Linked DNA regions of Arabidopsis thaliana. The protein of the gene in region 1 interacts with the protein of each later gene in a pairwise test. Each region holds a gene or a part of one and is shown in the gene's direction. Other genes may lie near its edges. The genes, in order: AT2G20820 and AT1G30475.

Region 1 (3,759 bases):
TGACCATATCTTCTATATGACCGAAACCACACTTCCTTGCAGCTCTCATGGACTTGTTAAAACTCAATCATGTCACATTGCAAGATAAGTACTCTTCGTCCGCTCTAGAAACATTTATTGATGACATGGACTAGGAATACAAGAAAAGAGAGTAATGCACAAGTTCAAAACAGCGAGAGACTACATGAACATTAAAGACATGAAACAGTAATTTCAAACCTGATATTATTACTCAGCCAAAGCGTGGCCCAGTTATTTGAACGACTTTGGAAACAGTAATATCATTTATATACTACTATTAAGATTTAAGAATAAGCGTTTACCAAGAAAGAGAATATTCAGTCCTCTCAAATGGGAAATCGAAACGTCATGAAAAAAAGAGGAAAATAAATGAAAAGAGAGAGACGCTTTGTTCTATATATAAAGGAACCCTAAACAAGTGGTAAAGAGCAAAGCAAAACCTTTTAGTTTCAATGTCTAAATTCTATTCATAAACCCTAAATCGATCCATGTCTTAGAAACGATAGAAATTCCGCTGAAGATATCTTCAAGCGACGAAGATGAAATGGAGACTCCAATTAGAGAAGAAGGTGAAGAAGACTCTTCGTCGGAAGAAGAAGATGATGATATGTCTTCTAATAACCCATCAGCTGCAACAGAGAAGCAAAAGAGAGTTTATTGAGTAAAAACGAAATTTATAGGAGATAATTTTTCCTTCGTCATTTCAACCATAAAGCCAAACCACAAAAAAAAATCTCTTCATCTCCCTCAAAACTTGAAATATGGTGAAAACAACTACTCAAGGTACATCACGTAAGATATTGACAATTTTTTATTTTTATCATTGCATGAAAATTCGTTTTGTCATAATCTTAATCTCTATTTGATCTATGTGTGTAGCGAAAACCAATGACAACGTTAATTGACTCATACACTGCACAATGTTGAAAGTGTTTCAAAGTGAGATATAGAGAGTCACAAGAAGAGTACGAAAAGAATCAAAGTAAAACTCCGAAAAAAGTCTTTTGAATGCAAGAGATGTGAAAAATCTAGAGATGTGGTTGTGAACTTTGATTCCCCTATTGTGCGTTGGTTTCAGGATGGACATGGTATACCCAACACCCCTCAAGGTTTGAAGAGGGTTTTGATCGTCAGAACAAGCTGCGAGAAAGCCGATGTTTAATATGAAACATTAGCTCCTAAACGAAAGAGACTAAATACTGTGAAGAAAGTCACTAAGTTTATTGAAGACAATGAACAATTCAAAGACATGAAGATTGAAGAGGTTTCTTTTACCGCACCCAAACAGCTGAAAAGGAAAAAGTTCTAAATAATGATGTTATAGTTGTTGATATTAAAACTTGAAAAATCAACAAGTTAAGGAAACTAAAGAGACAGAATAAACCTTAACTTGTTGATCTTTTCAAGTTTTGTTATCGGTAACTACAACATCCTTACTTATATTTTTTTCTTTTCAGCCGTTTGGGTGCGACAAAAGAAACCTCTTCAATCTTCATGTCTTTAAATTGTTTATTGTCTTCAATAAACTTAGCAACTTCCTTCACAGTCTTTAGTCTCTTTCGTTTAGGAGATACTGTTTCATAATAAACATCGGCTTTCTCGTAGCTTGTTCTGACGATTAAAACCTTTTATAAACTTTGAAGGGTTTTGGGTATTACCATGCCCATCCCGAAACCAACGCACAGTATGGAATCAAAGTTCAAACACATCTCCAGGTTCTTCACATCTCTTGCATTCAAAAGACTTTTTCGGTGTTTTACTTCGAATCTCTTTGCATTGGATCTTAATAATGTTTGAGCCGACCATGTTCTACATATGATGAACAAAACTCAAGCACTAGCGATTATTAAGGCTTTTTTTTTTATTTCTATCGATCTTTTTTTTTTTACCTATTGATAATGTTGATGTTGAAATACTCAAACATGGAAGTGGAATTCAAAAATACAACTAAAGATCTGTTTTCTTAGTACATACAGAATTGAGAAACAGAGAGATGAAAAATGCCAAGAGTGTGAACAAAAGTCCACAAAACAAAAGCCTCTGACGGAGAAGGAGGCTTTTAGGTGTTACCCAAACAAAACGCACACAATACGGCGTCGTTTAGAATCAGAAAAGACATTTCTTTATGGTCACTTGATTCTCTCTTCCTTCATCAATCAATCTCGTCTCCTGGAAAACATTAGGGAGCCTCTCAGATCCTCAAGAAAACCCTAAATCAAAAGTCGAGATCGATGGCGTCCTTCGCTCGCCGTGCCATGAGCTTAGCTCAGATCCCATCTGCTCGTATTTCCTCTGGAGCCGCTTCTATTGGTCAGCGTCGTTGCCTCGCCGGCGCCGCTGGTAAATTCTCTCTCCCTCTTCCTTCTCTTTTCGATATTTACGATTTTTTTCGGTATCAATTTTGGTGGCGTATAGCTTATTTCGCACATTTTATGTCTAATTTGTGTTTTCACGAATTTTAGATGAACCAAATGTTACAACTTTGTGAAGATTTTGTATATCATTGGCGTTGTCAGGTTCCAAATTGAATCACTGTATACAAAAAATTGAGTTTTTGAGCATTTTGTGGATTTGTCTGTGTACTGTGCAGATCACCATGGATCTACCAAGGTTGACTTCTGGAAACAGCCCACGAACCCAGGAAACTGGAAAGAGGAGCATGTATGTATCAATCATGTGTTTGTGACACTGTGTTTTTGTTAATGAAAGCTGTGATTTTTTGTTGAATTGATTCCTTCTGTTACCTGACCAATCTGCAGTTTGTGCTTATTTCTCTGTCTGGCTGGGGCTTACTTTTCTACAGTGGATACAAGCTCGCCACTGGGGGAAAAAAAGAGGTACTTACTCTTGCTCTTCAGCTCTTGCTCTTCTTCCATTGCCTAGAGGCTTCGGGTTCCTTCCCTTATACATAGTTTTTTTTGCAGACGCCTGTGGAGAGTACACAATGAGTTTCATTGTCACCAGGAAGACCTTTTATGGAGAGACCTCTCATTCTCATGCACTTTGTTTTCCCTTTTAGCAGATTGTGACTGGTCTTGTGTTTCATTTTGAAAATAATTTGCATCACTTTTGAGATCTGATGATGTCTGCAATGGATAAATTCTTGACAGTTTTGTGTTTCATAATATCCTATGTTTGAAACAGACAGGATTTAAGCAAATCATTGTCTCACTACGTATGTTGATATATGCTTTCGAGCTATTTCCTTCCATTCTATTTGTCTGGTTTGGATACCAATTTTTGTTGGAGGTATTTCTCCATGTATGTCGTCCACCTTCCAAGTACATATTGGCTAATCCAAATGTTTGTAGCTGCTCTTGTCTCATGCTTTTATTCTTGACATAGTTTATTCAGCATACTATTACAGTCACTGCTTGCTTCTTGTTATCGATCTCCTGCCTTGTGTGTATTTGCCGAGGTTATATGGTTGAATTTAGATTAGATTCATGTCCTCGTAGTGGTGCTAAGTTAGTTTTCCAAGCCCCAAGTCGGTTTTTTTTCCAGTATGTGATCCCTACTTGGTCTCTCCACTCGCATAACAGGTGTAACAAGCTACTGATTAAAGAAAATGCAGAGCATACATTACAAGTTTTTGCAGAAGAATTAAATAAGTTAGAGAAATGAAGTCAAATGGGTTTGGCATTGGTGGTGAAATCGAGGCAAGTCTGGCAGTTACAATCAGAGAAACGGCAGAGCTTGCAGCCGAAGCAGACGCAAGAAGTGCAGCCTTTGCAGGAC
Region 2 (4,416 bases), on another chromosome or scaffold:
CTTGTTATGGTGAAAACAATCAGAATAACAAGAATGTGCCTACGTTTATGACAATCAATGTGAAGATGCATTCATTCACATACCAATAACTACATGGTTGGAATTTCCATCAAAAATTAGTCAAGAAATGAAAAAAAAAAACACAGAAAGAATAGATCTTGCGAGTTATTACAGTAATCCAAGAACCATAAAAATTACTTCATCAAATGCCAACCCCTACGGATTCATTTGTCAACTCTCTAGTATTTGGCAATCCAAGCTTAAAGCCTCAGGTTAGGCTATCCCCAAAAACCAAAGTACGGTTCCAAATGCTTATTTGACTATTTGAGGGAAAGATACTGTAACTTAAACTGTTGTTTCCAAAGAGTAGGCAATCTAAATTCTATAACAATCCAGCAGTGTACTAGGCTACCATAACATAAGTAACACTCTAAGCTACAAGCTTCACCAACAAAGAATTATCATCACAAAACTGCCAAAGCTTTTAACTTCACGATAGCTTGAAAAAATCAACATAGTCACAAAAGGTCCTACTTTCCAATGGCATCCCATTACTCAATTCCATTTCCACAGAGACATCTTTGTCAACCGTAATTCAATACTACGCCCTCACATGCTGCCAACAATTAGCAGTAACAATTTCTTAACTAAGACCACATCAAATGTTGGAATACATTAATATCATTCTAACAGACCGTTCTAAATCATTGTAGCAAAGTGTGTCCTAGTATAACAACACGTTTGATTTGAATAAGTTCTAAATTGACTTTGGCCTACTAATACTGATTCAACTAAGACTGTGGCATCCAAACTCAAGAACTGAAGAATCCATAAGCTGATAAGAGATGTTATTGAAACGCATACCATGTTTCTAAGAAGCAAAACCCTGGTTGGTTCACCATTGATATTAACACTCTTAACAACCTTCTTCTCCGCCGAAGAAGATTTATTCTCACTAGCATTGACAATGACACCAGCTCTACGATCAGTCTTCTTAGCCATCAATGGCGTAGTAATCCCTTGCTCTGATTTCCCAAGCCCTTGTCCTTGTTTCCATCCCATCTTCGCCATCATCCTCTGAGCAGCTGTCATCTGTCCACCTGCTCCTACTCCTAACCCACTCGTCTCCGATTTCCCAATACTAAACCCATCAACATTCCCCGGCGGAGACGAAGATCTTCCCTTCCCACCACTTCCACCACCACTCATAGCAGCGCGTCTCTTCCACGCTTCCTCACCGGAGATATTCAACCGAGACGGATCACTGTTATCTCTCTCTCTCTCCTTCTCCCTCTCTTCTCTTTCTCTCTTATCTCTTTCCTCATCCTCTTGCCTTCTCTTATCCATCTCTCGTTTCATCTCAGCTTCCGTAGCTTTCCTCTTCTTCTCCCTCTTATACTCCTCGTAATCGTTAGGTCTCGCTGGATCGTACTCTTCAATCACCGATGAAGTCACACCAACCAATGCAGGCTGATGCGAAGGTGCTGATTCGTTCGCCGGAATAAGCACCGATTGCGATGAATTCGAAGGAGGAGGAGGCTTGTACGGAGCCGAAACGATAGGTTTAGGTTTGTTGAGAGGTCTTAAGATTGTTTGCGGGGGAGCAAAAGCTGGTGGTTTGCGAAGTGTAGGTGGAGCCATTTTGGTACTGCTTGACCAGACGGAAGAGGAGTTTCCACTGGGTTTCTCATCATCGGTCGGTGGAGGAAGATCTCCGTATAATCCACCAAGCATTTTTTCGCCGCCGGTAAAGAGACTCAAAATTCACGGTTCGCTTTCAATTGGAAAGATCTGCTCAAATTAGGGTTTTTAATTTTTTCCGATCAGCCTTAGTAATAATAAATAAAACAAATATCATTTTGTTGGAAAATAAAAAACCGACAAACAAAGGAGAAATATTTTGTCCTTTTATTTTATTTTCTGGGCTATTTAGATTCTTGCAATAGAAGCCAACGCTTTAAAATTGATTTGTGCGAGAATTTTACATAAACCCTAAGAAAGATCTTTGTTTTTTCCGTCTTTTTGCGTTTTAGTCTTCAGGTGCGATTCACGTTCCTCATCTTTTTTGTTCTTCTTATAAACTATTTATTTGCGTTTCGTCCTCTATGATCGAGAAGCTTCGAGGAGCAACCAAAATCCCAAATTTTTCCTCGACAAAAAATCTACCTGCTTTGATCCAAATCTCTATGGGTTTTTATCATTAATCGAATTTCAAAATTGATGAATCCATAATTTTTTTCTCTATTCGATTTATGAGAAATTGATTTTTTTTTTTATTTTTCTCCCTTGTGAAATAGGTTAAAGATTATTGTTTTGTTGCTGTTTGTAGTTATGCCGGTAATGAATCCATCATTGTGTATTGGTACACAAACATCGGTGTACCTCGCTCCTCGTGAGAAATCTTTTACGAGTAATGGTATGTCTCTTCTAAATCTCAACACTTGTTGGCTCTTAAGTTTACAATTGCTTCTTTGGAAAATTCTTTGAAATTGAGTTTGGATTGCTCTTGACAAATTGAAGAAACTAGACTTGTTGTTGTTATTGATATCTCAGAGCTTTAGTGAGTGTTGTTGTAGCATTGATTCTTGCTTTAGTCCCATCGTTCGAGCTTGCTTTTATTGAATGAACAATGGAATTCTAAAGCTCTTCTTCTACTTGCTGTCTGTAATAGGAAACTCTCAAAGGCGTTATCCTACAAGCGTTTCTATGCAACGCCAGCCTTGGAGCCAAAGTAAATTCCCTTCTCTCCAGGATGCAGTGCAACCAGTTGTCGTCTCTAAGAATAAAAGACCAGTCTTTGCATGTAACTCTGCGCTGGTAGGTTCCATTCATGACTTTGCAGCCTTTAAGTTTAAGTGTTTTAAATCTTTAGCTGTTGGGATAACTTCATCACACACCATTTTGCTCACATAACTTAATTACACATCATAAGCCATTTTGCTTGTTTTATGAACAAGATCCTTTTGCTCTTATGGCCGATAATAGTTTATTTTCCGGTATTCTCTTCCTAAGTGTCTCTGAAACGCTAGCTGTTTACTTATTCTGATTTGTTTTCTGCAGAATTCAAAATGCAGTCAAGGACAAACACAGACCGTTACACGGCAATCACCAACAATCACACAAGCTCCTACTCATGGTAAATTGTTTCATCCCCTTCTCTATGTTGAACAACTATTTTGCGTTTCTAACAAACAAGAGGGGCTTAAAAAACCATACGATTCTAGCTAATATGAAACAGTTATTTTGAACTCAAATTGTGGCTTGCTATGGTTCTTATTCTTGAGAATGTGCTTTAACAGAAACGGACTGGTCTATTCTTGTTTGTATCTTCAGAATTTATTTTTTTAGCCTTAACTTAAATATCAGGAAAAGTTAAATCCCCAAAGCTTGATGACGGTGGAAACGGGTTCCCACCTCGGGATGATGGTGGTGGTGGTGGTGGCGGAGGCGGTGGAGGGAGCTCTTCAGGTGGATTCTTCCTTTTCGGGTTTCTTTTGTTCATGGGATACTTGAAAGATTTGGAGGGCGAACATGAAAACAACCATTAAATCGGAGGAAAACATGATGCACAAGCACAACAGACAAATCTCAAGACAAGTATTCTCCAAGAGAAATCTCTGTATCAAAAACAATAGATTCTAGTACTAGCAATAGGCACAGATTTGAGTTGTTATTTATGTTTTCTCTGTTGGGTTATGAATGAGATTCTTGTTCCGTGACACAAACAAAGCTCATCTTATCCAAATGTTTATGGAACCAGGTTTGGGAGATGCAGAGAATCACACATAAATGAATTCAAAATGTACCCTTGTTCTTTTGTTTTAAAAGTTTGCCAGACTTGAGAAATGTTCACTATCGGCAATTGGCAAAAGATACGAAACTTAAAAACAATTCTTTTGCTTAGTATATGTATCAGAGACATAATCAACAGAACAAGTAGCTTAGGTGACAACCTGTTTCTGCTCCCCGTAATGCAACTTAGGGTGCATCTTAAACGGTTGGGGTGCTGACTGGAACATGTTAACATTAGGTGGCATTGGAACTTGTGCTTGTTGCTGCATCATTAGTGGTCGTTGTTGCTGCATCATTGGTGGTTGCATCATTGGTGGATAGGGCATCATTGGATGCGGAGGCCGCAACTGCGACGATGTAGTAGAATTGAAGCCAAAGCCAGGAGGAACATTCTCAAACTTTGATGGGACATGCCAGTTTCGGTTTCGCATCGGTAAAGGCTGAACAACTTTTGATTTACTGCTGAAACACCATAAAAGAGAAAGCATTTTTAGTATCCCAGACTTCTTCTTCTTCTGCTGCATCATCTTCTCTTGGAATTGACGTTCCATGGGTTTAGGATCATAAGATGAATTAGTAGAGTCAGAAGAAGAGTAGTCTTCTGAATCACTGTTTAGATCATCA

The links.
Region 2: the proteins of AT2G20820 (region 1) and AT1G30475 interact in a two-hybrid assay, tested with the Arabidopsis thaliana proteins (one large-scale study listed by BioGRID).

What each region holds. Positions count from the first base shown.
Region 1 is NC_003071.7:8,962,198-8,965,956, forward strand, and holds AT2G20820 (uncharacterized protein), read left to right. Parts: upstream 1-2,151; 5' UTR 2,152-2,252; coding exon 2,253-2,361; intron 2,362-2,611; coding exon 2,612-2,682; intron 2,683-2,780; coding exon of another isoform or gene 2,781-2,824; coding exon 2,825-2,858; intron 2,859-2,945; coding exon 2,946-3,040; 3' UTR 3,041-3,227; downstream 3,228-3,759. Other genes in the region: ULT2 (Developmental regulator, ULTRAPETALA), read right to left, coding at 3,648-3,759.
Region 2 is NC_003070.9:10,787,633-10,792,048, reverse strand, and holds AT1G30475 (uncharacterized protein), read left to right. Parts: upstream 1-2,105; coding exon 2,106-2,190; exon of another isoform or gene 2,191-2,329; coding exon 2,330-2,416; intron 2,417-2,671; coding exon 2,672-2,817; intron 2,818-3,060; coding exon 3,061-3,136; coding exon of another isoform or gene 3,137-3,228; exon of another isoform or gene 3,229-3,366; coding exon 3,367-3,548; 3' UTR 3,549-3,823; downstream 3,824-4,416. Other genes in the region: DRT111 (D111/G-patch domain-containing protein), read right to left, coding at 865-1,734; AT1G30473 (Heavy metal transport/detoxification superfamily protein), read right to left, coding at 3,942-4,416.